Linked DNA regions of Lytechinus pictus. The protein of the gene in region 1 interacts with the protein of each later gene in a biochemical or structural test. Links are inferred from orthologs where the notes say so. Each region holds a gene or a part of one and is shown on either strand. Other genes may lie near its edges. The genes, in order: early endosome antigen 1-like and ras-related protein Rab-22A-like.

What was found.
Region 2: the proteins of early endosome antigen 1-like (region 1) and ras-related protein Rab-22A-like form a complex in vitro, tested with the Homo sapiens proteins (2 studies listed by BioGRID). The link is inferred for Lytechinus pictus from reciprocal best matches to the Homo sapiens genes EEA1 and RAB31.

What each region holds. Positions count from the first base shown.
Region 1 is NC_087247.1:72,228,856-72,246,328, forward strand, and holds the start of early endosome antigen 1-like, read left to right. Parts: upstream 1-10,081; 5' UTR 10,082-10,096; coding exon 10,097-10,192; intron 10,193-11,389; coding exon 11,390-11,464; intron 11,465-12,420; coding exon 12,421-12,478; intron 12,479-13,198; coding exon 13,199-13,305; intron 13,306-15,610; coding exon 15,611-15,697; intron 15,698-15,933; coding exon 15,934-15,992; intron 15,993-16,497; coding exon 16,498-16,638; intron 16,639-17,473. UniProt on the Homo sapiens protein: Binds phospholipid vesicles containing phosphatidylinositol 3-phosphate and participates in endosomal trafficking.
Region 2 is NC_087246.1:66,112,807-66,129,985, reverse strand, and holds the start of ras-related protein Rab-22A-like, read left to right. Parts: upstream 1-8,307; 5' UTR 8,308-8,382; intron 8,383-9,958; 5' UTR 9,959-9,968; coding exon 9,969-10,040; intron 10,041-11,279; coding exon 11,280-11,351; intron 11,352-17,179. UniProt on the Homo sapiens protein: The small GTPases Rab are key regulators of intracellular membrane trafficking, from the formation of transport vesicles to their fusion with membranes.

The DNA.
Region 1 (17,473 bases):
ATCGGTTTTCCAATGCCAAACATCGCGATGTTTTGTACTCTGGTGATAATGAGTGGTGGCATTCAGGACCTCGACACTGTCTGAAGACGTGTCGAGGTCCCCGGGTCAAGTGGGGCAGTTGCGGATGCAGGGGAGGGGGTCAGTATCGAATTCATTGTCAGGAGAAGGGGGTGGACTTTGAAAAAGATTAATGTGTGGACTAGTGAAATGCAAGTATACGCATACCACCATTCATCTGTTCATATCGCTATACATGCAATTCAACTTATTTTGTGAGAGAGTAAGGTCATCTAGCTGAAAAGTAAATACAAATTTCTTTATATTTCATTGTTGTTCATGACAGTTTAAAAAGAAATTATATTCGTATTGTTACTCGAAATGTGCCATCAATTTATTAAAGGGATGGTGCGGGCTAAAAGTATGTATAGCTTAATAAATAGAGTAGAATTCACTGAGCAAAATGCCAAAAATTTCATCAAAATCGGATAACAAATAACAAAGTTATTGAATTTTAAAGTTTAGCAATATTTTGTGAAAACAGTTGTCATGAATATTCATTAGGTGGGCTGATGATGTCACATCTCCACTTGTTCTTTTGTATTTTATTATATGAAATTGGGTTTATTCAAATTTTTTCCTCCAAGAACTAGAAAAATTGGATTGACAACAGCTGATTTAGTGCATTAGATATTTATTGCTGCAACTTATTTCATTATAAGGGAGACATTTATTCACACAAGTATGAAATAATGAAAAAATTATGATTTTATGTATTAACATAAGAAAACGGAAAGTGGAGATGTGACATCATCAGCCCACCTAATGAATATTCATGACGACTGTTTTCACAAAATATTGCTATATACTTTAAACTTCAATAACTTTATTATTTGTTATCCGATTTTGATGAAATTTTCTACATTTTGCTCAGTGAATTCTACTCTATGTATTAAGATATAAATATTTTCAGCCCGGATCATCCCTTTAAGAAAATTAGTGCGCGATTCACGCTCGCATATTTCTTATACTGCCAAAAACTACTCAGAATGTTTATTGCTTTAGTCTAAATGCATCAAATCTCAAAAAAGTTGAGCTCCGCTTCGTGCTCTCATTATATATTCAGGCAGTGTGAGTTAGCCTCTCTTGTTTGTTGGGACTACTCCCTTTATAAACCAACAGCAAAAATGGCTTTTAGCGGCCGATTGGGGAAACATGGATGAAAACGTTCTGCGCCCCACCCCCTTTTGGCAAAATTCTGCTTTATATTCTGTATTAGAAACACATGTATGCGTGCTCTGCGCCTGGACTCCAACAGGGGCCCAAAAGTTGGATCCAGCGCCCTAGTCACAAAGCTTGCGCTTAACACTCCATTTTGTGAAACATGCAAAATAAATTTATCCCCCCCCTTTTCCTTTGCCACCCACCAGTTTCAAAATCCTGGTGCCACCACTGCTTGGGGGCTCTCATTATGTAAAACATTGTAATGCCCAGTTCTTTATTTTTTTTTAAATAGTATACACAGATTTTTTTTTCTGTGAGGAGGGGATGTGAAAAACAAATCTTAAGAACTGATATTTTAATGATTTCATGCACATTTTAGTGAATTTTGTGAAACTCTTCTGTAAGAAAGGAAGGTTTACTTTTTCGAGGGGGGGGCATTAATTCTGCCCCCTCCCGCTACGTACCAACATGTTATTAATTTATCACGTGCTCCCCTTTCCCCCAGGGGAAACTGGTATAGGACCTATCGCTTTGAAATTATTATTCATATGGTACATTCCGAGTTACAATATGAAATATGATTTATTTCTTAAAATGTCATGAACAGCGATAAAATATTAAATTAAAAAAAAGTGACCACTCTTCATCATAATGAATACAATACTGCCCTCCTGCATTCGCGCCTGCCCCTCTAAACACACTTAAAAAAAAAACGGTCAGATTACAGAGCTTGAACAAATTACTGAGTGAAGACAAATCTTATCTGCAACTCGATTCCTGAATAAAATACTGATGCGACATTATGCGTTAAGACTTGCAATGTTATGCATTAGTTATTTAAGCTACAACATTATGTGTTTACTGTGACATTATGCCAAAAGCATCCAACGCATAATGTCACAGTCAATGCATAATGTGGAGCGTTGTGGCCCAGTAGATTAGTCTTCGGACTTTGAAACAGAGGGTCGTGGGTTCGAATCCCAGCCATGGCGTAATTTCCTTCGGCAAGAAACTGATCCACAATGTGCCGTACTCAACCCAGGTGAGGTAAATGGGTACCGGTAGGAAGTAATTCCTTAAAAAGCTGTGTGCGCTATGAACGCCTAGCTTAGCCGGGTAATATAGGAGCACCTTGAGCACCTAACAAGGTGGATATGTGCGCAATATAAATGCCCTATATTATTATTATTATAATGTCGCAATTGCATCGCTGCGACATTATCGGTTTTAACAGGGGCCACTTACACTGATGAGTGGATACCATGTGTGACCAAAAAACATGTAAGAAGGATGTCTTTGTTATGTACGTAACGTAATAAGGGTGTCAAAAACACAAAAGTAATGAAAAAAGGGTATCTATTTCGCTTGGAAAGCTACGTGTTAAGGGTCAAATTTGCGAGAGTATAAAAAATGTTGCAGGATGTACTTTTTGCCCCAACAGTCAACACTACAATTTTAGAGTCCTATTTGCGCGAGGTGTTGGAGGTGGGGCAGTATTAAACCCAATGATGTACATGTAGGTAAACATGGTAAAGGTAAAACCAATGTCCATGACATATATCAATTAAAATATTGCTGTAGATCTAGATTTACTTGTTTAGGGGTTCAATTTAGGGAATACTTGCCAAGGGTATCAACCACAAAAGTGGTAGGTATGTGCCGTGGGCGAGACAAAAAACAGGGGTTTGGAATGGGCTTATTGTAAAAAGGAGGGTCTTCGGAACTACAAATTTTTGTAAAAATGGGGGTCCTTGGATTTGGAACGATTCGCCTGAGTGTGAGTGCATATGCAACCCTATGGAACGGCGCTTGCGCAGAGGCAATGGTCAGACAGTGCTGTGCGGGCTGCTTTTCACCAAAAAGGCAGATTATTGTAGCGGATATTGACGCAATGCGGCCGGAAGAGCGTAAAAAAAAATATGCAAAGCTTTGGAACGGATTTCTTTCTTCTTTTTTCTTGATATAAGAAGAAAATGCTATGCTTTGGAACAGCTTTCTTTGTTCTTTTTCTCAAAAAGATAAAAATGTTATGCTTTGGAACAGAAATTAGAGTGTAAAAATGGACATGACGAAAGAGCTCCGTTTGATAACACTATACCCCTCTTCTCCAAGTACGAAAACCCTACTGCCCCAGGCATGCAATGTAAGTATCAAAACACCTGTTTCTTGACCTCGGTCCGAAGATAACACAACAGCCCGAGTGCGGTCCGGGAAAACATGTCGCCATTTTTTATTCACTTACTTTCCTTATTTCGAGGTTGATTTTCTTTGTTCGAAATTGAAAATGGGCTAGCATTGAATTTCTGAATACAATATGCCTTTGAAAACGTGATTAAATATCGAATACAATAATTTAATTCCGAAGGTCCTTCTACAGGCAGAGAAGACTTACGTAATAGCACAGCTGTTGTTATCATTTCGTCCTTGGCTCAACGCTCATAATCTGGCCTGTGGGGATTACCTGGCCAAGCGGGGTTGATCAGGCGGGTGTTTCATAAAGCTGTTCGTAAGTTAAGAGCGACTGGTGATCATGTCTTGCGGTAAATGGTACAATTGGCGATGATCACCAGTCGTTTTTAAAGTCGCTCTTAACTTACGAACAGCTTTATGAAATGACCCCCAGGGCTTGGAAATGATGTTTTAGATTTTCAAACGCAAAATGGGGTGAAATACCGCAGTTTGCAATCCGAACTGCGGTCCGTTCCCAAACGGGGGTAAGACGTAATGGGTCCTCTCCACGGCACATACCCGGCCGCCATGCATATATACTGAGTGCCCCCCCCCCCTGGTATGTACGATCCGAGAAATATGAATTACAAGTTAAAACATAAACTAAAAAGCAGAAGAGTCTAGTTGCCATAATTTTAAGATGATTCTCTTAAAATCAAAATTGTCAAAAACTAAAACACTTAACCCTAAACAGGCCGGGGGGGTTAAATCAACTCCCCCCCTCAACATTTTCTGCGATCATTCCGCCTCGCGAAATTTTTTGACCGCGCCACTCGCAGAGTTTATACTTTTAAGTCTCGCGCATCTTTTGAGACCAAATTTACGACGCCCGGATACGCGTTTCCGAAATTACGCAACATTTTGTAAGTGCATGTCTGACCAAGGAGGTTTCAAATGAGATGGAGTAACAGCAAATAAAATCTCTTTGAACAAGGTTAAAAACCGCCAGCAGAAAGTATGTCAGGCATGCACTTTGCTCAACATCTCTTGCAATTGTGTAGACAAATGATTCCCGCATGACTCCGCAGCTATAGGTCATACATAAAGGGAAATTATGCTTTTGTGATGATAATTACTTTTTCGCCGCATCTTGGTCTGGTTATATGTGTAGTACATAATTCGGAGGCATGCGAAAATAAACTATGCAATATGTCCTGAAATATGACTCAAATTTGCTCGACTGGGCATGTGCGGGCACTCATCTGGCATATACAGTAATGAATAACAATATTCCACCGACCACATTTGAAATTTTCATTCGCCGCAAACGATCGGTTTCAGTATAAAGGTCAAATTCTTTCTTTTTTCACTAATTAAAGGTTAATTGATATAATATGGGCAAATATCTCGTCGTAATAGTGCTTGGTTATTGATGTTTTGTCATGCTTTCAAATTTCAGTTTGTTTATTAATATGAAACATGAAAAATTGATACAAATAAATATTCGTAAAATTTCACCCCTCGGATTTCTTCATTGAAACTGGCGGCTTCGAAGGCGGACATCAAAAAGGTCCTTATTGCCGTTCTTTCTTTTTGTGCTTCTTTAGAAATGAACAGCTGCTTGAATAAATTTGTTGCCTGTTGGAACTCCAGTCATAGAATCTTCTTGGTCAGACCAAAAATTGTTCCAAAACGTGATTTTGTGTACAAAGTCAATGCAAATTGAGTTTTCTCATCTTATTCATAAAGATATGATTATTTTTACTTTAAACAGCTGAAATCAATTGATTTTAGCATAATTATGCTTCAAAAAGGTTGTGCAATAAATCTGGTGAAAAAAACAAAGAAAAACAAAAGGTTGAAAAACAACGAAATACATAAGAAATTCATAAAACAATAAAATACATAAGAAATTGATTTCCAAACCGAAGTTTTTTTCAATTGCGATTGTTAAGAATGCTACAAAGAATATTTTTACCAAAAATTAGCATTCTAGGAGCTTTATTTATTGAATTAGAGCAAAAAGTATGATTTATGCATAAATTAGCATAATTAATTCATAAAAAATAAAATCTCATTATTTTGGAAAATTTTACCATACAGCCTTGTAGATTACATCGCACACTACCAGCGTGCAAATTTTTGTGGCGCTCGCGCTATCGGCGGCCGAGATCTCGACCCCCCCCCCCGGAACACAACAGCCAAAAAAGCCCGGCCTACATGTAGTTAGGGTTAAAATAAAGAAAAATTTGCTAATATTTATTGGATTTAGCCTTTTTAACTTTGTTAATAGCCTGTTGTATAACAGTGTTAACTTTCTACATTGCATTGGAGTGCCAGTTTTCCTAATTCACTCAAAGTGGACCTCAGTGGAAAACAGACAAAATAAACAGCATAATTTGAATAAAATCTCAATACAAATCAGGGTTGATGTACACTGTCAATATTTTCTCTCTATAATAGTTTATGAAATGATACAAATAGCGTGCTAAATGTAAGAAAAATATTTTACCTGCTGGTGGTGATTTGTAATATATTTAAGAGCTTACATGGATTCTCTTTGAAATTCTTTCTAGGCTGCTACCCCTGACAGTCCCAGTAGGTCTTCTGGCTATGAAGAACAAGAAGCATCGGTAAGTTGGTGTACAAATACCCTTATGATATTTCTTTCAAATATAAGCAGCTTAACTCTTACCATAGTATTTGCCAATGAATTGATGGCAAGACTTCCATACATCCCTTTCTCTATGGAAAAGGTTTATAAAGTCATATCTGACAAATATCTAAGAGATTTAGCAAAGAAAAGTTGGATGCATGCATGTCAAATTATCGAGTGTGTGCAATTCCCAGTTGCATGTATTTATTTCGTCAGAAAAAAAAGCAACTATAACTTTATAGTCTTGGAGACTAGACAAGTCGTAACATTGGCTTATGATAACTGTGAATTAACCATAGGCTTTCAGCAATTACTGCAAGCGTAGTGAGGTAACTGACGAACTAGAGATATATCGGAGACCGATCCAGAGGTTCGAATCCAACCGGAAGTAGAAAAACAGACAGAAAGTAAAAGTGAACAAAAGAGAGGGTTTAGTGGAGGGGGACATATGGAAGTCTTTAAATGAACATTATCTGATTTGCTTTCAGAGAGAAAGCAATTTGAACAGGTAGAAAGTGAACTAAACTGGGTTCCAAAAGAAACTGATCAAAGTTTTCAAGGGCACTGCACAAATTCCACTCAGTCAAAAAAATTAATTATTTTTACACAGGCTAGCTTCAATAATCTTTATGAAGCATATGTCAATAATTAAGAGATTGGTTTAATCACAGGGCGGATATATAGCCCCTCATGTCAATTGGTTTCAGAATCCAAAGTCACAAAATGGCAAAAGAAAGACCAATAAAAATGAGATGGGATTAAACAACCATTTTTCAGTTTATTACACATGTCCTTAAGAGACATGTGATTGGCTTGATCACAGAGAAGTTTATACAATCCTTCACCCACAGACAGATCCCTAGTTATGTCACGGTAAGCAGGGGTAATCTGAACGTGGTGTTTTCTGTGTGTGGCTGAGTGAGATACAGTTTAGATTATCCACTGCTTACTGGGACATCCCCAGGGGGGTTATGTGTGGCTTTGCAACTGTTCCAGTCATTTAAAATTTTGATGTTGATTTCCCGGGGGGGGGGGGGGCACTTACATTGACGAGTGGATACCATGCGCGACCAAAAAAACATGTAAAAATGATGTCTTATTCAAGATTGGGCACGTTACGTACGTAACGTGATAAGGGTGTCAAAAACACAAAAATAATGGAAAAAGGGTATCTATTTCGCTAGGAAAGTTACGTGATTAGGGTCAAATTTGTGGGGATGATGAAACAAAATTAAAATGTTTTATAAAGGATGTCCTCTTTGCCCCAACACTACGTGTTAAGAGTCCGATTTGCGCGAGGTGTGGAAGGTGGGGCCGTGCACCAAATGGTGTGTAAAGGTAAAACCGACGGACCCGTGACATAACAAATATCGCTGTATTTGTTTAGGGGTTCATTTCAGGGAATACTTGCCAAGAGTGTTGTTTTGTTTCCAATACTTGTTAAGGGTAGGGTTTCAGACGCCAATACTTGTTAAGGGGTGCATTTTCAGAATATGGAAAATACGTGTTTAGGGTGCTTTTCGAGACCCCATGGTCGCGCATGGTATCCACTCGTCAATGGAAGTGGCCCCTCGGGGTTGATTTCCTATACTTCAGTATGGTATTGATATTGTGGTCAACAGGGATTCATCTGCCCAACCTGTATGGTTGCACTGTCCTCTGCTGAACAGCTCAGGTCACACTGGGAATCAGTTCATGATACTATCTCTGGGGATGGAGCAATGGCCATGGAACCTGAAGTAGTAGCATCACCAGCAGGAAACACCAATGCTGCACGCCCAAATTCTGTCCAAGCCAATGTGAGATAGCTACATCTATATTGTGTCTTATTTTTGTATTTTGTCACTGTTATAAAATTCAATTACTATTTAAAAAAAATACCTGTATGTTAAGTTATTATTGTGTAATATCATTTATTGTTAATCACGTATAATCCTAGATAAAAAGATGTTCTGTTATCTGTACCATACAATACTAAGCCATCCATATACTCTTTTTCTGTTTTTGTTATTAGATTAAAAACAAATCTATAGTTCAAATTTTGTTAATTTAAAGTAATAGAATTGCAATTGTATTTGATGAAGAAAACATATACTGTTATAACAGATTAATATTTTTTTGGTCATGTTTTAATCTCATATAATATTGCCTTTGTCTACTACAACCATCAATGATAATGTGATGTGGGCCTGCATTGGATATCTATTGGATCTCTAGGAACGGTAAGCTTATAGTTACATGCCATCATTTATTTTATTATTTGTTTGCCGAAAGAGCTGGTTCGGGACCCCCGGGGGGCCACTTACATTGACGAGTGGATACCATGCACGACCAAAAAAACACGTAAAAAGGATGTCTTTTTCAAGATAGGGCACATTACGTACGTAACGTGATTAGGGTGTAAACAACACAAACATATTGAAAAACGGTATCTATTTCGCTCGGAAAAATATACGTGTTTAGGGTCAAATATGTGGGGATGATAAAACAAAATCAAAATGTTTTATAAAGGATGTCCTTTTTGCCCCAACACTACGTGTTTAGAGTTCGATTTGCGCGAGGTGTGGAAGGTGGGGCCGTACTAAACCAAAATAATGGTGTGTAACTATAGGTAAAACCGACGACCGACGGACCCGTGACATAACAATAAAATATCGCTGTACTTGTTTAGGGGTTCATTTCAGGGAATACTTGCCAAGAGTATCGTTTTGTTTCCAATACTTGTTAAGGGGTGCATTTTTAGAATATGGAAAATACGTGTTTAGGGTGCTTTTCAAGACGCCGTGGTCGCGCATAGTATCCACTCGTCATGGAAGTGGCCCCTCCTGGTTCGGGACAGTGGTAATTAGCCAAGTCTTAGTGGATGTAGATCTTTATACAGTGTGTATCAAAAAAAAGTTTACACTTTGAAAATGCCCTGGGAATTAAAAAATATACCACATGAGGGAAATTTTTTCACATATAATGTTGGGTTTGGGTCTCATCTATCCAATGAAAGTAAAAGTTTTGACAGAATGTTACACTTGAGTGAGCACTGTCCATTTTTGTAAAGCTCGCAGAAATCTGATTGCGCAGAAATGCTCGTTTTCACGCTGTGTCGAAAGGAAAGGGCGAATGTCAAACTTACCCTGCGAAACATTTCTCATACATTTCCCTTGCTTTTTTAGTAATTGAAATAAAACGGATACATTCAAGCATTTTGTAACAATTTTGCCACCCAAATTGAAATTTCAACACTTAGTAAGCACAACCTTTACCCTTTTTCTGCCAGCTGGATCTGAGGACATAACTGAATCTGAACAAAAGTTTATATCAGACATCTCCAGCATTTTTTCATTTTAATAATCATTTAAAGTGGGTTTACATTTCATTTTTATTTAATACTTGTTTCTCCACACTTTTCCCAAGCTTGACAATGATTTACAAAATGAAAATCAAGCCTAAGCCATTTCATGTAAATCACAGCTCAGTGTAAAGCAAATATCATCATGATGGCCTCGGTGTGTGGGTGAGTGGGGTGGGGCGCAATGCACTCTTCGAAGTGTTTTGGGCAAGGAAACAAGTTTTAAAAAAGTAAAAGATATCTTCAAATCAATTTTACTTGCTAAATTCCATGTGTTCTTCATGATTAAGGTCTACTGTTATTCGCATAACTATTTCAAAGTTCTGCGCAAATCATTTTTCACTAACTTTTCAAAAGTCAGTGGTGCTCACTCAAGCGGAAATATTTTTCGACAGTTATATCGTCATTTGCTTAAATGGATCTGTACCAATCTTTAAATGTGGAAAAATTTTCAGGATATTACAAATATATAATTTTACAGGATTTTTTCTAAGTGTAAACTTTTTTTTTATACGCACTGTATATGTGCATGTATGGATATATCGATAATATCCTGAGAACAAATGCAAATGTAATCTATAGTTTTCAAGTCAAGGGAATGTTTTGCTTCAAACCGAGATTAGTTGCCACTCCAGAGGGCCCTATTTTTCTTTAAAATCTTATATCTAATCTTAATAATTTGTACATTATATTCCTGTAGATGCGTCATGATTCTTCTCACTTTACTTTTTAATTTCTTACACAGGGATGGGGATCTTGAGAGTTTACGCCAGGAAGTCAGTGAATTACGGACCTCTTTGAAAGTAAGCAAGATTGAAGATTGCAGAATTTATAGTTTAAAGGAGCACAGGTATTAAGTCATGTCATAAGGGGTTTGATTGCAAGGATGAGTTAGAATTCCTAATTCCTAATTTCTTTATATTTCTAAACCCATCCCTCATTAAAGAAAGAATATTCAGACCTTTTTTCTACCTCATGACTTCAGAAATGGTTCAAATATTTTCTTAAATGTATCCTTAGTGCATACCAGCTTGCATTTTATGCTTTGAATTTGTGCTTGATCTAAAGATTTATTGTTTCTCATTCTCTTTCTATCTCTATATCTGCCCCCCTCGCCTTTCTCTCCTTACTCTCAGTCTGTCTATAGTTGTTCCCCTATTTCTCCCTCTTCTCATGGAATGTACTTGTGCAGTTGTGCTTACTTTATTTTACCCATTGTCATAATTGTATGATTGCTTCTCCCGGGGGGGCCACTTACATTGACAAGTGGATACCATGCGCGACCAAAAAAACACGTAAAAAGGATGTCTTTTTCACGATAGGGCACGTTACATACGTAACGTGATAAGGGTGTCAAAAACACAAAAATAATGAAAAAAGAGTATCTATTTCGCTCAGAAAATTACATGTTTAGGGTCGAATTTGTGGGGATGATAAAACAAAATTAAGATGTTTTATAAAGGATGTCCTTTTTGCCCCAACACTTCGTGTTTAGAGTCCGATTTGCGCGAGGTGTAGAAGGTGGGGTTGTACTAAACCAAATAAGGTAAAGCCGACGACCGAAGGACCCGTAACAATAAAACATTCCTGTACTTGTTTAGGGGTTCATTTCAGGGAATATTTGCCAAGAGTATCGTTTTGTTTCCAATACTTGTTAAGGGTAGGGTTTCACACGCCAATACTTGTTAAGGGGTGCATTTTCAGAATATGGAAATTACGTGTTTAGGGTGCTTTTCGAGACCCCATGGTCGCGCATAGTATCCACTCGTGAATGGAAGTGGCCCCCCCCCCCCCGGGTTGCTTCTCTTAAGCATAGTACAGCCCACTGGCTTTCTCCCTCCTTGCTTCTATCACTCTCTCTCTCACTTTCTCTCGCTTTCTTTCTCTTTCCCTCTCGCTGCCCCTCTATTTCTTTGCACAGGGTTTTTTCAGCTTGGTATACTAATTTAATATGCATGTGTGGTTTATTTTGCATGTTTGTCTTTTGTTTCTCTCTGAAGGAAGAAAAATGGTATGCTACTGAGTTGAAGAAGGAAGTGGACAGATTAAAGTCTGGGGAAGAGCCTATGTTAATAGTGAGCCAATTGTACACAAATATTTTAGCCTAGATTAAAAAAAATATCAGTTAAAGAGGAAGTTTACCCTTATGAAAAGTGTATTTTACTAAATGCAGGAAAAAAATATATATGTATTTGAAGGTATGAGCAAAATCCACCAAACCATAAGAGAGTCATGAATTCTCAAAGCTTTGATTTTGTGACATCATAAGTAATTAGATGTCCCGTGTAATTATAAATTCCATAAAATCCTGTTATGGTTCCTGGTGACTGAAAATATTTTTCTTAAAGAAGCTTGTATATGATAAGATGTCCAATGTGGAATGCACAGGTGAAGCAATTTTAGAGAAAATAGCATTTAATGGAATTTATATCACATGACATTAAATTTGTTTTCTTTCTTGTATAAAAACCAACTTCGTCAGGGGTGAACCTCTAACTAGGATTTTTTAAAATATATTTTGGAAGAATTTATATTCTTTTACTTCAGCAAAAAAGATTTTATACAAAGTATTAGGGTATACTGTTGCTAGATACTAATTGATCATTTTAACACCTGACAATAATTCATTTTCTGTTTTAATGTGACTGCAATGGAGAGTTAGAGGAAGCTATAACCAAACTTTGCAGACTTCATTACAATCATTATGGACTATAATACCCACTTTAAAATCTGGCATTCAAGAAAAGCAACTGTCCCTTCAATTTGATATTTTGTCTTCATAAAAATTCAAAGCTGATGTCAAGAAAATGTAGGCATTTCGTACAGATGGCAAACAGAATTCACACTAATATTTTGAGCACACTAATGGTATATGAATGTTGCTGTAACATAGTGTTTATACATGTATCAAACTACTCACTCACATATACCACGTTTACATACTACTTTATATGAATCATACATTACTAATTGTGACACCATTTATATAATTGTTTTCATTATGCATGTTATTTGATTAATATTTTGACAGGATGATACAGATTTGTTCAAAGAGCAATTGAAAAAGTCAGAGGAGAGCAGGTCACTCTGTAAGTACATGTTTACTGTGTTTGAAGCTGTCACAAAATTTGTAAAGCTTACTTGTTATAATTTTTGAAGATGTATAAATTCGACATTGAAAAACAATTATTAAGTTAAAGGAATCCATATGTGACTGAATAATAGGGAAAGAGAGGACCAGAAAAAATATCAAAATAATAATTTTTATTATTTTATCTTATTTCTTATAGAAAAATTTGTGCAGACCTTTTTTTCTGTTTGATATATCAACTGTAATTTACTATTATATGCAGTACCACACACTGTCCAGTCATATATATATATATATATATATATATATATATATATATATTTCTCTACATCTGTGTTTAAGACAAATATTTTTGTCTTCTTTCGTTGTTCATAATGCACCTTAACGCCCTCTACCTTCGTCTCGTGTATTATGACGGAATAAACCCATTCATAGACTTTGCCCTTTCGAAGGATATAGGCATATATATAAAATCATCTCTGAAAAAATTATCACAATTAAATTTTTACTTATGTATGTTTGTGAGTACATGGAAATTTATTTCAAGATTTGTGTTTCTTATATATGTGATTCTTATTTTAATGAGTCCCTGAATGCAATAATTTTCCGACATCACAATATACAATGATAAGCCATTACATCAGCTTAAAATATTATTTTGTCAAATGACACATGGCTCATTATTCCTACTTGCTTTAATTCATGATTATACAAACAGTATCTTCTGAGGTTGTACTTTTAAGACAAGATTTAGCAGAATCCAAACAAACAGCAGCTAATTATAAGACCATCAAAGATGCAATGGAGCAAAAGGCTGCTAGTTTGGTAAGAATAATATCATCTCTCTTCTATGTTATGATAATTTCCACTCTTCGTGAAAAAGATTCAGGGGTGGTATTCTAAAAAATCCTCATAATTTTTCTTGTAAATATTTTTCTAACTCAGCCAGATAACAGCTCGCTAAAATTCTGTCAAATTGGTATTCTGAAAATTGTCTTATCTCTGTAAGGACTTCCCTTATTTTATCTCTGACATGCCCCAATATGTTATCATCAACCAATCATTGAACTTTTTTATATGCTAAGGTCAACCAATAGAAGCATCTCTTCTGAAAAAAGTGCATTGTTGACATGAGGCGTAACTTCTCTTGCGCCCCTGATGCTATGCTTGTGTGCTACTGTGCTAAAAAGTACATGTAGCTGTTATCCCAGTCATATTTTCTCCAAAAAGATACATCATCTCAAATACCAATCTTTGATTGCTGAAAAGTCTACCAATCCGTCTCTGATATGTCTTCAAAATGTCTCTTTTTGTATAACTTGATGTTCTTGTGTGATGCAGCAAGAAATTATCATTTTTGACAGAGAAATATCACATGCAACATTAAGTCACAATAGCCCCATACCTCTTATAAAGTTTCTTGCATTTTGCAAGGAAGTTATTCAGGATGCAAAGATAAGAGAATTTTAAGAATACCTTTTATCTCAATATGTTATCTTGCGCACAGAGATATGAATTTGTTGTTTCTAACTTTACGCATCATTATTGCACTGACATCCTACACACTGAGTGAAAGTTACAAGAAAAGATACAAGAATTTTCGGAATTCGGATGTTATTTTAACTCTGAAGATACAAGAATATTTTTATTCAGACAATTTTTAGAATACGGCCCCAGTTTTATTTGATGTATCGCTGGCATAGCAGAAGCGAGATGCAGTGGCGGCGGCAGTGGTGGTGGCTATGGCGTTGGTGATGACATCATCAACATCAAATCTAAGCCAAGGTTAAGTTTTTGATATGTCATCTTAACTTAGATATAAGGACCTATTTCATGAAACTTGAACATCAGGGTAATTGAAGTACCACTGATCATGTCACATGAGTTTCAGGTAACATAATTAAGGTCAAAGGTCATTTTGGTTTAAACTACCTTTGACCATGTTGTAGTATCAATATTATAAATATTTTGAATTTTTAAGATAATTAAGAAAAATTAAAAGTCCCTAATCCATACAAAAATACATGTAATGATTATTGATTATCAGCAAATAGATGAATATAGTTTCGGGTCACTAAGCCAAGGTCAAAGGTCATATGAAGTCAGTTAACTAGTATCAACTTAAAACAAAAACTTAATTATCAGATACTTTTGAAACACAAGTCTTTGATGCGTAATACATTTTGATATAATGGTTAACATGTATCCCAAATCAAATGAGCATGATTAATAAATCTTAAGTTACTTGGTCAAAGTCAAAGTTCATTTGAGATCAATTAACTTTGATAAGAACTTTTATTTTGTCCTCACTTTAAAAGCAAATGACACTTGTGCAAGATGATAATTGGATATCACAAATGATACTCAACAAAGGAATAGCTTCATTCTATGCGCATTAAAATTGTGTATAAAGAGTTTTAGCCATGATGTGAGTAAAATTTCTGGTAATTCGATCAAGGTCATAGGTCATCTCATGTAAAAAAACTTAGATGAAAATTTAAGCAAATGGTCATATCCATTAATTTCCTTAATCCTTGAAACAAAGCATCCACAGCATTGATCCTCATGACCTCGGATTGTTAGATGTGTATTCCAGTGATAAATGAAAAATAGAAAATATTACATATTTCAATATCATAATGTCAACAGTCCTAAAATGTTGAATTGCATGATGCATGCAAGACTTCCAGAGGCATTTAACTTGTCTCCTTTTTTTTATCCTAACATTATGTTAGAATGAGACTGAAAGAATTAACTCACTGATTCCTTGTGAGAAATAGCCTTGTTAGAATGAAATGAAAACTCCATTGTAAAATATTATTGAATTATAGGGATATAGTATTAGTAATTAAGACAATGATAATGATAATGCAACATATGAAGCGTTCTTATCTCTACTGTGTGGAGTACTCAAGCAGCTAATTTTCATCATTATGCTTACTTTAGCATGTCTGCCATTCAGGCACCCATGTAAAAGCAATACAGCATGTAAACCAGTATTGTTAGAAAATAATTGGTATTGAAAATGCTTATGGTTCTTGGCATTAATTCTATTCTATAGACTTGATAATTTGTTGCACAGTATAGTATGTTTCAAGTCCTGACTGGTATTTTCCTTTGACGTCAATAGGCAGCTGATATTGCTACAATACGAGCAGAGCTAGATGAAGAGAAAGGACATCATTTAGCTCTCAAAGAAACCTTGCAACACACTCAAGTAAGTCAACATTTTGTATTTTCTTAGCCATTATGCTATTACTATGAAAATACAGCAGGATAATCAACTGCTCCTGATAAATTTGGGAGCTCTGTATGAAATTTTAATGCTCTTGTTGATATTATGTAGAAATATTAGAGTTATAGGTAAACAAGAAGAATGTCATCATGATTTTTCTGAATTTGTATATTTTATTCTTGTGTGTGACTGTTTTAAATCCATTTTATAACTTTCAGTTTGAGATGAGGGACAGGGAAAATCAAATCAAGGTATTGGAATCACAAGCATTACAAAGGTAATATCATTATCACAAATTAGCATGAAGTACACTATGAATGATAATATTTAGACATGAAATAATTACGCGCCTAGTTCAATGGTGTTTGTTGGTATTGGGTTTAGTTAATACACCAGCACCAAACATAAAATGATGCTGTTGCTAGAACTGATATTAATAGATGTGACAGTAAGAGAATACAACAGACCATGGCCCACACTGTTCATAAAAACATTAATTTGCTTATCATAAGTCTTGGAAAGATTCATTAAGCTTTTGCATGAAAATCTATCCTTCCTCCTCTGATTATACGGTATGTGTCTGACCAGATAACAATGGCAGCATGGTGTTATTGGGTGGTTTATAATGGTGATAAATTTATGTTTTATAATTGTTGGAATTTTTTTAAGAGCTCATATCTTGTATATTGCTTGAATTTTGCTTCATGAGTGAGTATTATTATTTTGAGATAACAAGCTTCATCATTTTTCAATATATTTTGTCGAAACAAATATTACATTAGAACTGCTGATGATGACATCCTAGTTTTAAAGAAAGAGTTGGTTAGTATACAAACTTTGATGGACCAGATGAGTCTTGAAGCTGAAGCAGAAAAGAAGGAGCTAGAGAAACAGTGTGGTGAACTCAAAACAAGGAATGAAGAGTAAGTTTACCAATATATTTTTTATTTATTTAATCTCAATATTGTCCTCAGAGACAATGTGTGTCAGTAGATGCATCAATGTAACTTCCATGCTCTTTGTTTTAGGATTTAATGTACTGTTGATCCCTAATGAACATAGATACTTCATCTTCATGGCCATGTTTTTATAATTTTGTGTAATTTATGTTTCTTTTAATACAGTATGGAAAATAGTTTGAGCTGGTCTTTTCATAGACTTGAAACTGAAATCCTGCAACCAAACGGCAAACAGTAAACAAGCTTGTGTCAGGTTTAATCTTAAAGGTTTTTCTCATCATCTCAAAGACTTCAATCTAGTTTTGATTAATGAAAACAAAAGGTTTGATTGTTATAGCATTGTTCATAGAATATTGTCAAGGCAATATTTTACAGAACAATAGGAAAATTTCATAGTGTGAGTTATTTCCCCATTGCTGCATTTTACTTCTTGGCAGACTCTTCATGTGTATATGTGGAATCATGGACTTGTGAGAATTGCCCAAGCCTTAGCACAACGACTTTACAAGTTTTGCATGGGCCCTCCTCATTCATCCTATCTATGTATGCATTTGTTTCCTCATTAATATGTATACCTATTGTTATGTAGTATGTATTTAACTTCCTGTTATCCTTTCAGTCATTAACCTTCACTTGTTACAAACTCCCCCAATGTCATCTAAGAATTCCCAAACCCCCAATACCATTTAACTCCTAAACCTTGACCATAAATGACCAACCCTCAGTGACGTCAGCTAACTTCAAGGAACAAAAGTTCTAAGAAGTATGACTCACACTTCCAGCCCCAGTCACTTGCACA
Region 2 (17,179 bases), on another chromosome or scaffold:
TATTAGGTTGTCTCCAGAGTCATCAATTTGAACATAAATGCTATCAATAAATAATGAAAAATAATCACTTACAATTTTTATTTGGTCCAATATGGGTAACTGGTAAAACCTTAGGTGTGGGGTTCACAAACCACTTTGGGAAATCATATAGTTTGGAGGAAATATTCTATGTCAAGATTCTCAAATAAAACTTCAGCCAGCTCTACATTTATCCACCATTAAAGCCACAAATATAAAATTGAAGTTGGGGAAAGGATAAAAAAAGCACTTTTGTGTGACTTTCGGTGAAGCTACTTTTTAAAGTTCCTTGTGTGGGAGTATAATAATGTAGGCAATTACATTTGTGTCATGCTCAGTTTAATGAAATCTAATACAGAACTTGAAAGGAAAGAGTATCATGGATGAGATTCAATTAGAGGATCATCAAACGAGAATAATTATTGACAGGACAAAGGTGTGAGGAGAGACGGATGGCTAGATCAGTGTGAGAATGATATTGGTTTTGGTGGTCAGAACGATGTGGCAGACAGCAACAGGTTGCTGTCACAGGCAAGAATACAATCTGAGGGTGCGTTCAAGCGATTTCAGTATTAAGCTGGAATGCTAAACGTGATTCTTAAATAAAAATGGAAGCTTAAAACACCCTTATTCTAGGTGGGTGATTTTTCAACAAAGCTGATTCTCATTTGTTACAAGACATTCTCATTTGTCTGCATAATTTGATCTGAGAAGCACATGTGTGAAATTCAACTGTTAAATGTACACAGAATAAAGAATTGTCTCAAACTCTGAACCAATAGCCAATAACTACAGTACTAGGGAACTAGGGCTACAATTGTACTAGAGCTACAATTCTTTATCATACTTTTAGGGTAAGACCGATTTTCTATAGGGCAATTTTAATATTATAGAAGAATTTTGAAAAACAAGAAGGGGCACTAAATTTAAAAAAAGCCCCAAGGCCAATGAGAGAGGCATTGAGGGAATTCAATAGCTGATCAATAAATGACTTTCAATGAACATGGTTTTAGAATTGGGTTGAAATATTCACCTTTTGTTAAAGTATTCCATGTTTATCCTTAGAAAAGAGGTTTGTTTTCATGACCAACTAAAAATGATTTAATGGTCCATACTCTGAACTTGGGTCTAGTTCAAACTCTGATCTTAATTTGTGATTTGACGCTCAAATGATCATTCATAACTGACTGCGAATAATTACTGAAAGAGTTCTATTTATTGTTAATGGTGAGGAAAGAGCCAGGTAAAGATAGGAATCATAATGCACGTATATATGTACAAGTAGTAGTACAATATTGAAATTTTTGGCTTCCTATTAGACCATGGCCTAAATTACAACAGACTCCAGAATAAGGGCTATAAATGTCTAAGAAAACTGGTTCTAGGAGGAAAAAGAATTGTGTAAACTCAACTTGAGTACAGGAAAACTTTATATTGGCAAGGTAAATCCCCATATTTGTCAGGCCATCACTGATCGTTGGACAAATCAATATCCTGTGTTCTAAGAAAATTGAAAGGTGGTACTCCTGACGCTCTTCAGTCCAACCAAATCAAATGTCAAATACATGTAGGTACTGTAATGACACTGTCAAAATAGATTACATCTACATGAATGAATTTTGTAGATAAATATACAGCATTCATGTGTGCCCGTCTGCAGTTTTTCACAGAATAAACCTAAAATGTCATGGTTTCAGACTTTCAGTTAAAAATATCACCAATAGTATGGATGTACTTATTGTAGCTTTCATTATTTGGTCGCTTTGTTCATTACTTTATTTATCATAACATTGTACTACGTGTATGTGTACTACATGTATGTGTACATATTTAATAACATGTATTTGGGAATGGGTGATGTAAAATAGAATGCACATTGTGCATACATGAAGGAGTCTAGGCCTACACAACAGTATAAATGCTTGATCATCGAGAGAATTTATTCAAGTACATGACAATTATGTACTCTCAATGACATTTGATTACCTAGTTTAAACGGTACTTATATCTTTAGTGGCCGTCACACCTTGAAAGCTCAGCCAACTTCTATCAATGCATTTTGGGTGTGGTAAACCATTTTAACACTTCTTCCCATTTCTTAATATCATTTTATTTATATCACTTAATTTATCAAGTAATGGAATTCTTGACGTCAAGAAAATTATTTGTACATGTATATTTAACAATAGCAATTCTTGGGGTCAAGAAAAAAGGTAAAATAAAAAGAAATGACTTGCCATACATACATGTACATTAGCAAACTGTACACTAGCTGAAATGTTAGGGTATGACAGCCCCTTTTGTTGTGTCTCACATGATAGCCATCTGGCATTCTGGCCCCTTCTCAACAAAACTATTAATAGGTCCAGACAACTTATAAATTAGCTACAAATCCTCTTTATCATCCACTGACGTACAACTTTGTGGGTAGAGTATTCAATGTGACACTTTCTCAATACTGAATCAGTTAAGTTGGTCCAGAAGTGTAGCCATTCTCTTTGTTTTGCCAAGCCCTGTGTTGCACAAAGAACTTGTAGGTTAACTAATCAAGGACTAGAAATTCAATTAGATTTTTCTTCTTGTGGGGGTGGCCAGGGGGATAAATCAGGGGGTTAATTTACTCAATGAATGAGCAGAAAGAGCATTCCATTTGACGTCAGTGACAAGTTCGATGACAAGTTTAGTTTGGACTGCGTCTTCAGATGGCAGGATGGCCAAAGGAACGCAGCCAGGAGTGGGCGAGATGAGTCACAGATTTTCCATAAAAAGGAGCAATTAGTTAGGGACGTCATAATAGACTGGTAATGAAATGTGACGCAAAACGTCAACTCTAGGCTCACAAGGGAAGCATGAGAGTTTGTCATTTTTTCTCTTTGATCCAAAAAGAATCGACCTTACTTGTAGCTGCATTTGTGGTGAAGGCGTTAGAATGTTCCCTATCTAATATCTCTGATGGTCTATTTTTGAACAGCATTGATATGACCCATCAATCTGAATAGTCTTTGTTTGTAGTTGAGATTTATTTTGAGCTTATTTGTAGCACTATTGAACAGAATTGTTTTCTGAGTATTTTGATCAATATTTGTGGAAGTTCCAGCTTCTGCATGTTCTGCAGTAGGTAGAATCTGTGTATTAAAGGAGAATGAAACTCTTGGAGCAAGTTAGCTTTTGTGAAAGCAGAAAAATCAAAGAATAAGATCAACAAAAGTTTGAGTAAAATAGGACTAGCAATAGAAGAGTTATGAGCATTTGAATGTCGAGATCACTAATGCTATGGAGATCCTCCCATTGGCAATGCGACCAAGATCTATGATGTCACAGATGAACAACTCTCCCCTTTTGGACACTGAAAATATACCCCAAAACATCTCTTTTTGCTCATTCTAATCATATGACAAACGATTCATCAATGATATAATGTTGTGAAACCTCTGTACTTGTCCTCTCATATAAAGAGAACACCTCACCTTGTGATAGACTATAAAAGTGAGAATATAAGTGAAATAAGTACTAAAGTAATGAGGGAGTTGTACGTGTGTGACATCACAGATCTTGGTCGCATTGCCAATGGGAAGATCTACATGGCATTAGTGATCTCAATATTCAAATGCTCATAACTTTCTTATTATTCATTCAATCTTCCTCAAACTTTCAACAATATGTTTCTTTGATTTTTCTCTTTGATATGGATTCAGCTGGTTTCAAGGGTTTCATTCTCCTTTAATATCAGAATTGTCAAGGGCGTATTCTGGTTTGAGCATGGGGAGGTTCACATCCAAGGGAGGCGGAACTAAACTTTGGCAAATCAGCTATTTTAAGCAGAAGAAGGGGTACAAATTTTGTTTTGCTTGCCAGTGTCAGCACTCCTCTGCCTCAGCGGGAGAGTGCACATGCACCTAGTGCACCCCCAGCCTACGCCCTTGATCATATATGTGGAAAACAGGGCCCTCTGGGAGAACAGTATGTGTCACTGCTGGGGATACTGTGTATGAATGATGACGATGAAGATGGTGAAGATAACAATTATTATAATGATGACGATGACGATTATTATGTTGATGATGATGATGATGATGATGATGATGACACATGTGATTAATGATGTACAACAACAACAACAAAATAATTAGGCCCTCATCAAGAACACATTTCTCATAGAGATCTACAAGGCATTTGGCAAGTACACATGTTTGATTATTTGACCCATATGGCCTTTTATTTGCATCCAAGATGAAATCATACATTTAACATGATAAAACAATATTTAGAAATATTATAAAGAGGCAAGGGATAAAAAAGCAAAATACAGATTTAGAGATAACAATTACAACAAATGAAAAGCACAAGATACGTGTACCGGATGCAGGGGACCAGCAAAGGCCGAAGGCCTATCAAGGCTAGTCCCCTAAAATGACATACCAATAAATAAAGTGTACACCAATACAAAAAAGGGCAAACAGGCAACTGAAAGTCTATTGAATGAATGATTGATTAATACACATGTAAAGGTGTATTCCAGCCAAGGGTTCTTTCCTTCCTAATAGGTGGATAACCAAGATGACTAGATTTTGAAATTGAAGACATGGGGTAATCCATAATAAACAACCTGTAAATGTCACTACTATAGTATGTAGTCTGCTATGCAAACCATTCTCAAGTTAAAGGTCTGAATGTGCAGCCTATAATGCTTTGGTTACTGAAGGCGCTCTCACTCTGCAAGTTTTATATGTGCTAGTCTTAAGTGTGGAGATCCACTTGTTGATCAAAGTGCCTGCAGACTATGTCACTACTAGTGGGCCAATTCAAGTACATCAACGTTGCGACAAAGTAAATCTGGGACTGGGAGAGATGTATTAAAATGTAAGGGTAGCTCCTGAAGTTTGGTGGTTCTTGTGAAATTCATAGTAGCCTATTTTTAATCTTGTTTTGGCTTGATCACCTGGTAGTGTTTTGTTCTGGTTTTGTTAATTCAAGGAATTCAGAAATCCTTATTGAAGACACATACTTCACCTGGGTCGAGTGCAGCACACATGGATACATTTTGTTTTGCTGAGGGATATCTTCTTGATATTTTCCATTTTCCATCTAATTTGTTCTAAATGCATATAGTTAGTCAAAGTCTGCCTCAAATGATGTTCATTGTTTCAAATTTTTAAGACAATTGAAGGGAAAAGGTGTATAGTGGAGTGGGTGAAAATGTAACATGAGTTGTGCTCATACAACAGTTGCTCCTCTGAAAATTTCTCTGAAGATTGTAAGGTGAGGTTAGAGTTGTTATAAGGTATTTGGTTCAGAATCATGCATGGATAAGGATTAAGGTTAGGTAAGGTCAGGTTTGAAGCTCAAGTTTATATTTGGCTTACTGTAATGTGTGCATTTTCAGTAGACTGTGCAATTGTCGAGGAGCATACCTGTATGGCATGGAACCATGTCGGACACAGCAAAATAAGATACAGGGCAGCTTGTATGATCAGGGACCCCTCTCACGTCCCTGGTATGATGCAGGATTTCTGGTCAATATGCTGTTGACATGTCCACTTTCAAAATTATTGTGTAGATATTTTCTTTGAGACAAAAGATTTCCTTGAAAGCCTGACAGATTGTCTGAGGCTTGTCAGACAAAGCAATAAGTGCAAACTGGATTCCAAGTTAATCTATTGCAGTTCACTCCAGTTCTTAAAGCTCATCATCTGGTCTCTGGAAAAGAATTCTCCCTGTATTTTAGCAATGAAGATGATAATAAATTAGGTCTGATATGTCCTCTTTATTTATCCCAGCAGAAATTGTCCTCTTCTTTGATACTATTCAGAAAGACATGTTAAGGAGTTTGCCACTCTAATGGTCAATGGATGGTGCAACACCCTACATGTAAACATTTGACATGCATGATCAACTATCAGCCTTTGAGCACACTTCTTAGTAAACTTTACTATATTTTTTGCCTGTTATTTTTTCAAATTTTCTTTCATTATCTGAAATATCACAAGGGGGGATGGGGATTGAAACGACAGCAACAATAATGATAGTAGTAATGATGATGCTGATGATGATGATGGTGATGTTGATAGTACTGATGACCTGGTGATGATGATGATGATGATAACAACAACAAAAACAATAATGATAATAATAACAATAATGATGATAATAATGATGATAATAATAATAATAATAATAATAATAATTATAATAATAATAACAATAACAATAATAATAATAATAATGATAATGATAATGATAATAATGATAATAATAATAATGATAAACAGTAACAACAACAACAACACAGGGTAGCCACTTCAGTTCTGGAAACTGGCCTCGCGAGGGCCTTTGCTTAACATGATAATGTTATTATTACCCCTCCCCCCTGCCTGTTGCATGTGCATGTAGGTGTAAACATGCAATACATGTAATTCGGCTATCACCTCCCCTATACTTGTAAGAGATGTGACTTGTGAGAAGGAACTCACTGGCATAGATGTGGAGACATGACTTCCTGGGCTTCATGAACCATGAAGATGTGCTTTCATAATGTAATTATCTAGCTTCTAAACTACCATACCATTAATAGGGCCTTTTCACACGTGAATCTTGAATTATCATTGTAATGATGATTGCAATTTTTTTTTCTTTCAATAATGATGATTGCAATTCGTCTTTGGAATCATCGAACCTTTCACACGCTCACTCGAAAACTTTGATTTGAATTCGAATTCCCGAGCAAAGGCTGTATGTGTTCTTGGTGACTTGTCAATCAAAGCACTGAATCGCAAATACAAACTACGATGAGTGCATAAATTGTATTATCTATGGAAGTGCATAAAAGGTCACGTAAGCTCCGCCCCTCCAAAAGATGTTTTAGAGGTCAAGCCTATCACTCACAAAATTTGTACCGTAATTTTAGTGAAACTTAACTGGAATTCACCTCCAAAATAGTATTTGAATTCTTGATTGTGATTAGCGTTCATGATTCTAATCATCATGTTCTAGTTTGGTTTCACACGTGCTAAAAATTTGTCATTAGCCTTATTTTCCACTTGAATCATCATTCAAATTAAAAAAAAATTACCATGTGAAAGGGCGGTTAGACAAAATCATGATATGATACATTGAATTTTTTTTTATTTGTCATGATTATTTGTGCCTACATGTATAGCTTTTCATCATCACATTGAAATATTTTTAATTCTCTGCATTCTATTTCTTTGCATGTGAGAATATTTTCCCTGTTTAAACTTTTAACAGTTTTTGTGATAAATGAGTGAACTTCCAATACTTCTATCATATTTACAGTTGCTATGTCTGTCATGCCTCTGGCAAGATTTTTATGTTCTTCAAACTTTCTTGCTACACTGTTCATGTATATTGTAATTATCAGTATCTATCAGACTACATGTATCTGTATTTTATATTCATACTCTTTATAAAGCAAACTGCTCACATGGCTCTTGTGAGGAATTTTATGTAGGAGCTGTTTCAACATTCCTCTGTCACGTGACAAATCTGCAGTCATGTCTCAGTCCCAGACCCTGTACTGCATGCATTTACAATTCACTCACTGTAGATTTTATATCCACTCATGTGTGCACATATCATACAGCAGGGGTAAAACAAATCTTGGCAATTAAGCGTGGTTGACTCATTAAAGCAATTAAGGGGCTTCCTAATGTGTTCTTGTACTTGAGATGCAGTATATATGTAGTATCCTGAGGTTTGAGGCACTGCTTCCAGTTTTCTCCCTGGCAACGTGTGATTTTACCAAGTTTACTCTTCAAAAGAGAGAAAAAAAGGTGAAGGGGGTGGGGAGGATGGAGGGCCAACCTCAATGCTGAAATACACTCCGCACATTGTGTACCAAAGTTTCCTCTGGGGTTTTGCCCCTCGGAAGTAGTAATGGTCAGGCCAACTTTCCATTTAAATTCCTACTTTCTCCCAGCCTGGCATATCTCTAAAATATAGATTAACAGCCTTTTCTTTGAATCATTATGATCTCAGTATCTGAGGTGTAATGAGCCAAAAAAATTGTAAGGGGGCATATATCTTTAAAGTTGTGTGCGAGTAAAGAGACCGAACCAAAATTTTCATAGTTTATATATAAATTAATGATATTAAGAAACTCAAGTGACCCTTTTCGTTTTTGTTTATATATTTCTTTTTCTCCTTTTTTTCCTTTTCCTTCTTGGTTGTGGAACTGTTTTATGCTCCAAGTCCCCTCTGTATTTGCCAATGTCCTTAATAATGCATTCATTATTGGAATTTTTTTTTTTTTCATTTTTGTGTCTAGGACTCTGGAGTTGGTAAATCAAGTATAGTTCAAAGATTTGTGAGTGATACATATTATGAATCCATCCCTCCGACGATAGGGTGAGTAAAAAACAACTTTTCAACCTTCTATTGTTTCTTCCTTCTTTCCCATTATCTCTTTATCCTCATCCATCTTGTTCTCCTTATCATCCCTCTTTTTCTTCCTTTACCACTCCAATAATTTTCATCATTTACCCCTTAATATCATTCTCATCCCTTTTACTTTCCTGAATTTCATCTTTTTCCTCTCAATTCATCATTTTCTCCTTTTTGTCTCGATGAAGGCGAGACTTAGGGATCCAAATGTTGTCCGTCCGTCGTCCGTCCGTCACAAACCTAATGACACCTAACTCCACAACCGTAAGTCGCTTTTCAACCAAACTTGGATGGTAGATGGACTTGGGGGACCTGCATGTTATGCTGCAGTCAGAGGTCAAAGGTTATTTTCAGGTCACATGGTAAGGTCAAAGGTCATTTTCAGGTCAACAGTAAAGTTTACATGCAAGACTCTCTTATGACACCTAACTCCGCAACCGTAAGTCACTTTTCAACCAAACTTGGATGGTAGATGAACTTGGGGGACCTGCATGTTATGCTGCAGTCGGAGGTCACATGGTAAGGTCAAAGGTCATTTTCAGGTCAATGTTAAAGTTTACATGCAAGACTCTTATGACACCTAACTCCGCAACCGTAAGTCACTTTTCAACCAAACTTGGATGGTAGATGGCTTGGGGGACCTGCATGTTATGCTGCCGTTGGAGGTCACATGGTAAGGTCAAAGGTCATTTTCAGGTCAACATTAAAGTTTACGTGCAAGGCTCTTAAGACAAGTGTTATTCCATCCCAGTCATTTCACAATGAAGTTTCGATACAATTCTGTTGCGTGCCCTCGCAAATCACGATATTTCTGGTTATTTTCATAAGTGGGCGAGACACAAAATCGCTTTTGCCTTGTATTTCTTATCCATCCATCATGTCCTTATCCTCATCATCCTTTTCCTCTTTCCCCTGCTCCTCTTCCCCCATCTTGTTTGTTTTCCATGTTACATTTTCTTGTTCCCCCTGTTACCACCTTGTTCTCTTGATCTTATTTCTACTTGTTTGCATTGTACATTTGAACATGCTTTATTCTTTTTTACTGTACCCCCCCCCCCCCATTCTAATGACCTTTATCTTTAAATTGACTGGTTTCCCAGTATTCATTCTGTGTTAGATGCTTTATGCACAAAAAGTATAAGTTTATATAAAAAATATAGACCATTGTGGTTGATACTAATAGCCTACTAAATTACTAATGACTTGCTATGCATATTGCGTAGCAACAAATGATGTGTGCCAACTAGATTTTCATTCATCCATAAAAGGAAGGTGTCTCTGTAAATTAAAAAAGAACTTAATATTCTAGATACAATAAAAAAAAAGAAATGACTGGTAAAGACATGAGCTTGAAATTCCAATCATTACATTCTTGTTCAAGTTCATAATAATAGTGCCAGACATTTTCTCATTGCTTTTAGAGTTGCTACATGTACTTTTTTTATTATTCAATATGAAATTTCAATAAATTGTGAGCGAATGTCACACAATTTTTCTATTGTTAGAAATGAGACTTACATATTTTATTGTTCTCCTACAGTGCCTCATTTATGTCAAAGACGTTAGCAGTTGATGAAAAAATGTACAAATTTCAAATATGGGATACCGCAGGTCAAGAAAAGGTAAAGTCCTTTTGTCTTTTCATATCACATTTAAAACAGGAAAACACACAAGGAATTTTAGCACAGTAATGTTTGTTTGGTAATGTTTAATTTATATAATTTAAAATAATTTTTGTTTTCCCCTGGTTGCATGCAGTAGTCAAATATTCATGAAGTTTAAACAAAAATTGACTTTAATAACTGTTGAGTGGTGACTGAGCGAGAGAAAATTATGATTGCAACTCTTTGTTTGTTATTATGGCAGGCAGTTATGCAGTAAAATCTTTTCATGTTAAAAGGTAATAAATTAACTCTTGGAAATGGGATGTTTACTTAGAAATTCAGATCACGTTTTTTGGCAATTCCTTTTCATATGTTTAGCAGAAAAAGTCAGACAGGAATATCAACAAATTCTTGAGTAAAATTAGACAAGCAGTATAAGGTTACATACATGTATGATCATTCGAACGTTGAAATCACAATTGCTATGGAGATCCTTCTATTGGCAATGCCATTTGGACACTGAAAATATACCCATAATCTTTTTTGTTTTTGTTCATGTCAATGATACAACATACAATACAATTTGTTCATGGTATAATGTTGTGAAACATCTATTTTATGTCATCTCATAAAAAAAGAATGTCTGACTAGATGTAAGACCAAAAAATTAAGTAAAATATGGAATAAAAACTCAATAAAGTAATGGAGAAGTTGTATGTGTGACATCACAGATTTTGTTTGCATCTCATTATTTAATTTAAATATTCATAACTTTCTTCTACATTCAAAGTTTCAATTTTCATTGATCTGTTTCTTAGATTTTCTCTTTATCTGAATTCAACTGGTTTCAAGGGATTTCAATCTCCTTTAAGTCACATCAAAGTGAAGAGAATGATATCCAAGCTTTACAAATATGCATCATTTATCAATAATGATAATGATAATAATAATAATAATAAAATGTTGCTTGTATACACGTATACAGTACATATCACTGACAATGGATGAGAGAGTCTCTCTCTGCTTATTTTATGATTCTGAGTGTGGCAATTCTCAGGGGTATTTTTTTGTTTGTTTGGATATAGTATTTATTAGAAAATGTTGAAAGTTGGCTAAGTGTTATTAGGGAATAGCAAACTGTAGCTGTGGTGTACATTAACCTTTGAATGCTTAATTGAGAGGGAGGAAGGGGGGGGGGTTACTGAACTGAAGTGTTTTTCTTTTATCACAACTATTATTTTTATTTTGCCCCTGCAGTATCGAGGTTTAGCACCCATGTATTACAGAGGGGCTGCAGCAGCAATAGTGGTCTATGATATCACAAGTCAAGTAAGTTCATCTACTCCACCTTCTTTAATTCTTCAAAGCAAAGTGCACCACATCAAGCATCGGGAACATCTTGATTTTGGATTTGATTTTGATGTTGTCTTTCATATTCTCAGTCAGACTTTGCCTTTGCAGTTTTGCTGTAATTTCGATATGGATTGAAGTAAGTGACACAAAATTATGTGAACGGGCGTGCAGGACAATAGTCAAATAACTTAAGCCCATATCAAAACTAGTATACTGTGGAGCCAAGTGAAGGCTTCTGACTGAGAATTCGAATGTTGACATCAAAATTTAAGCCAAATTAAACTTTATTAATGAAGCTGTTCCTGATGCTCGATGTGTTTGATGATAATCGATACTTGGGAATTAATTCAGACAAAAATTGAGGTGAAATTAGTTTACTAACATTTAACATTGCCAGGTGCAAAAGTGCACTACCAGAAGCCTGGCCTTGCTCGGTGCATGGTAGCACTAGTGCACTCGTAAAAAAATTCCACCTTTTTAATACAAACTGTAAATTTGTTATAGGCTTTGACATGATATTCATATTTAATCATTTTCTTTTCCTTTCTTTTGCCTTTAAGACCCATGTCTGTATGCGAGTTGGAGGGGGGGGGGTGAAGCATAGTACTTAATTGAACTGGGCATGTGAATTGTGAAAAATTGCAGCCACATATTTAGTGTTCAGACTGATGAGACAAATCACCCCCACAACAATAATAGTTTGTTGTACACATCAACTTTCAAATATAACAGATTTCTGTCCAAAGTTGTCCAAACTCGTGATCTCATATGTGCAGCCAGGTAAAAAAAAAAACCTTATTGCTCAATTTTCCATTGACTCTGTAGAGAAAATTTTGCTGAACTTTGTTATTGGGTATGATAAATAACACAAAAACAACCACTGAATGAGGAAATAAAAATAATCTACTATTATTATTGTCATCGCATTGAATGATGGTATTTGTTTTGTATTCAGTTCAATTAGAAATTTTAAGGAAATACATGGGTGCGTCTGTTGACATTAATCAAGATGGCAGCAGGATCTTGCAAGACGTATATCATATTTTTATTTGTATAGTGTGGCACTGTGGTAGTAGCATGTTCATCACACTCTAATACAGTTCTAGTCAATTCCAAATCAGTAGTCAAGGCAACTTATAAATTGTATAAGATGAAAGAAAAGACTAATTAAGGTTCCTTCAAGGCTAAAAATCAAGTGATTTTAACAAAAAAAACAGGCAAATCTAGTAATCAAACCAATGAAACCAATGACATCATAATTGGACAAGGATTCACAAAGTTATGAGAATAAAGTGTTTTTTATTTCAGTGAAGCAGTTCTATGCATGTCCTCATGAATATGCAATGAGTTAACGAATGATATCATTTCCTCAATTTTATATTATTTTTTTACATTATGTCTCTCAAGAATATAAAAGCAGGATTGACTATTTTTCACTATGTAAAATAATCATTAGTGAAACTGATTTCATTACAAAGGAGACAAGTTTTACACACCTGCATGAAAATATGATTTCAGTTGAAAAGGAAAGAGTAACATCACCATCCCACCTATTGTGTATTCATGAAAGCATAACTGTTTTCCCAAAATATTGCAGAAATTTAAAATTTAATTATTTTTTCGATGTGATTATTTTCAGGCTGGAGGACCCCTCTATGCTACATGTATCATGCCATTTTTATAATCTATTATTATCCTTTGTTTTTATTTTTCTCTTATAAACGGTATTGTGCGTCTCTGAAGATAATGTAGATGTAGACAGTGCTTTGCACATTAGTAGTCAGCCTAAATGAAATTACTATAAAAAAAAATTTATTCTTGATCATTGGCAGTGAAACAAATGCAGTAGCTCTGCAATGTATACAGGCTATTTATCTGTTTTCTTTGTTGAGTGATCTGGCCTACATTTTGCATTCCTGCCAAAGTTTTATTTCTGTCTGTCACCCGGCAAGGAAGCTTGCCTGATGACTCTGTCCAATGTTGCTCTTAACTGTAGGTAGTTTGTCGTTGCAGTAGTAATGAGTCATTCATTGTTTCCTGAAATAGGCCGCTGTGGCTCTTGAAATATGGAGTAGAAAGTACAGTCTAAAGGAAGCTTGCTTGGTTACGATACCATCTCAAGTGAAAGCTATGCAACTGTATTACACTGTGATGATTACTGGATTATTGTCAAGCATGCATGCTGCAGTATTGGGTCTATATTATGTCGCTATAGACTGGAGGCGTACACAGGATTTGAATTACAACCGAAGATGGAGATAAGTGGGAAAAATGTGTATTTGTAACTCAGGATGATTGGTTGACTGAAATTGAGACGTATCATAGATTGCAAAGTGTAAACCAGTACTCTAGTAAAAAACCCACAAGAAATAAAGTGTATTATTAGCATATCATACAGGGTTGAAGGTAGTGAATACACTTTACATTTAGTTTCATACCATTTATTGAATCATATCAGAATGAACACATCTATGAGAATTAAAAAAAATACATATTTTCATGAAGAAAACTTTTTTTTGGGGGGGGGGAATATTTCAACAAAGTACATAAAATATTTTACTATTGCACAATTTCTATATTATATACTCAACTGCGCATTACAAAAAATGTTTTTATTATTATTGCCCCGGCTATAGCCGTGCTGCCTTCAGGCGCTCTGGCATTCAAGAGATTTCTTCCTACTGGGAACTTATTCACCTCACCAGGGTTGAGTGCAGCACCATATGGGTAAATTTCTTGCTGAAGGAAAACATGCCATGGCTGGGAATCAAATCCCGGGGGGGGGGGGGGCAGTCAAATATATTGCTGTACACACGTGTGAGCAAAAAACGTGTTTAAAGGGGTGATTTTTCAGTTTTGGACGCGGGCCGCGCGTGCACTCGTTAAGGGTATCAAAAACACTGATTAAAAAAAAAGGGGTAGTTTTAAAAGACTGGTCAATGGTCAATCGCAGGGTCAAATGTATTTAGGGTATTTTTTTTCCAAAGCTTTTTTTTTAAGAGTAAGACTAGCCAAACATGTTATTAAAGGGTATTTTTTCCCCAAGCTTTTTTCCCGGAGTCATATTCTGGCGACAACTTGTTTAGGGGGCAAAATGTGTAAATAAAGCACGCAAAAAACTTGTTAGGGGGTTATTTTGCACACAGAGAAAAACTCATTTAGGGGGTGTTTAAAAAATATTTTGGCCACGCGTGTGTACAGCAATACATTTGACTGCCCCCCCCCCCACGTCCCTCAGATTGAAAGACAAGTCATAATCACTAGACCAAGATGCCCCCACACCTAAAAAACAATAAGACAATTTTTGTAGCAATTATTAAGAGTGCTTCGCAAATATACCAAGATATGAAGATAATAGGAAAATTCTTCCCTACTTTTTTAACAATACTGGTTTTATGACTGTACACATAATCCTGATGAGGAGAGAAGGTGAATCAACTTTCTATTAATAATCGATCATGACTAAAATTGTCACATGATAGTGTGTATGCTTTGATGGAACTGCAAATATAAATATTTGTCATCATTATTCACGATTATCTGTCCATTATCATTGATATGTTTTAATAGTCTATTGTTGGCTCATAATCGTGTTCTTTGATATTTTAAAGTGAAAGTAATAATAACATTAAAAAAGATATTGCATTGGCTTAATGGCGATTTCTAGATGCCATTTTCCAAGCAAAATTCTGAATTGGCCTGTTTTCCAAATACTGAAAATTCATATTCTTTCCTGCATGCCGTATAAGGAACTATTTCTTAGTTTATTAATGAATGTTGCTGTATTTCTATTAGGCAAGCCTTTAGCAATCTCTCAGGTAGTTAAGAACAATATTTTTTACTAAAAAGTATTCTGGTATTATCCTGGTGTTCAGGCTGTAGAAAATCCTTTATTTTATTTTTTTTTTTTTCACTGTGGGTTACATGTAAGTGGCTCTAAGTTATTCTCAGGTCCCCTGGTCCTTTAGCACTTGCATCCTAGTTCATAGAAATTTAAGTTTAAAAAGGACTTCCCAAAACCTTTACCAACAGTTTGGAATTTGTATGGTTGTCATAATTAGATAAATAATCAAACTTGTTTTACTTCATTAACTAATTTACAGTAGAAACCATTGAACAAAGAGTCACCAACTTAAAAGTCGGGGACAAAGCTGAGGCCATATTTCAACTAAATTTTGACAGTGTCAGCCTCAGGTTGGACCAATTCCTAGGTCACAGTGTCCTTGTGACTCGGAACAGCCGACCTACTTTATACACCATTTCTTTTATTTGTAATTTACCTGAGGAAATATGATTGAGAAAAAGATAAAAAGAAATGCCAAAAAAAAAGTTTCCATGAACAATCCAACTAACTGGTCAAGCAGTCAAGACGAGAGTCTTGTATATTTCATTGTTTTTATTATTGCGGTAGATCATGTACTGCTGATTGGAAATATTCTGAATATATCTAGTCAGGTACCGATTGAGAGGGGTGGTCAAATGAGCCCCCCCCCCATGCCTCTGGCCGAGATTGACATTCTGTTTCCCCTTTTATGGCAAGTCTGTGTGCTTTTTACATACAAGTGTCTCCAGGCTTTGAACTACACTGTAATTTGTGAATTTTCGTTAGTCCTTCCACTGTATCTATAATTTTTGCTGTAAAGCCATGATGCTATGAACCACATTCACAAGTAACTGAAAACCTCTGTTACTTTCAGAGAGCAATTGAGCACTTCCTTCCCTTGTTAAATCCTTCTGCCTTCTATCCTACCTATCGTCTTGTACCACATTCACACTGAGTTGAGACCAACCAAATCCAATCACATACCCTTATACCTCAGTCACATTTCCCTTATGGTGAATGTACGGCGAGTCGATAACAGCGGGTTTCATTTTTATTCAAACCACCTATATATAGCTTGTACAAAATATGTAAAAATTGCTGTTTGTGACTCGCCGTACGGCCGCCGTAGGGGAGATGTGACTAATGTATTAGTTGATTTAGAGTCAGTTTCCTTGGTGTGACTGTTCCACTCTCTATGGACTCTGTGTGAAAAGAGGATTGTAAGAGATTAGAAGCATTCAAAATGTGGATATTGCGATGCATGCTTAAAATCAACTGGTCAGAGAGACTGTCAAATGAAGAGGTGCTAGTTATGATAGGAGAAACGTGAACTAAACCCTCTGAACACAATTAAAGACGGGCAAAGAAAATGGATTGGTCACATACTGAGACATGACAACATGGTTGATCATATCAATTGTAACAATCTTGGTAGTGCCACTATTAATAGGATACTGACAGGGGAGCTGAAGATGTCACAAAATTGCTAGTATTCATTCACTTTTGGCTCCAATAATGTAAATGGAATTTTACATATGTACTACCCCCTCCCCCCAAAAAAAAAGAAGGGTGCAGATAAATTTGTAAAATTCATAGTTTTTTTTCCTCATCTGTAGAATTTGCAGAAAAACTTTGGAGTATATATTTTCATCCATGCTTTATTTCAAAATATATACATGTATGAAATACAAACGTACAATAATGCATGGCATGTGCAGCATCCGAATACGGTATTTGTGCACATGAATAATAATATGGATTCACTTGTAAATATAGAAATATATATTAATGAAATTTTCTGTATCTTCAGCACAAAACATATTATTAGGTACAGGGAAATTATGAAAGTTAAGACAATTGGCCTGGTTAAAAGGAAAGCTGCAAAAAAAAAAAATCATTGAAAAACATCAATTAAATACAGTATTTTATTTTGTTTAAAATGGGAGGTCTTGCATACATTCTTTTACACTTACTGTAAAAT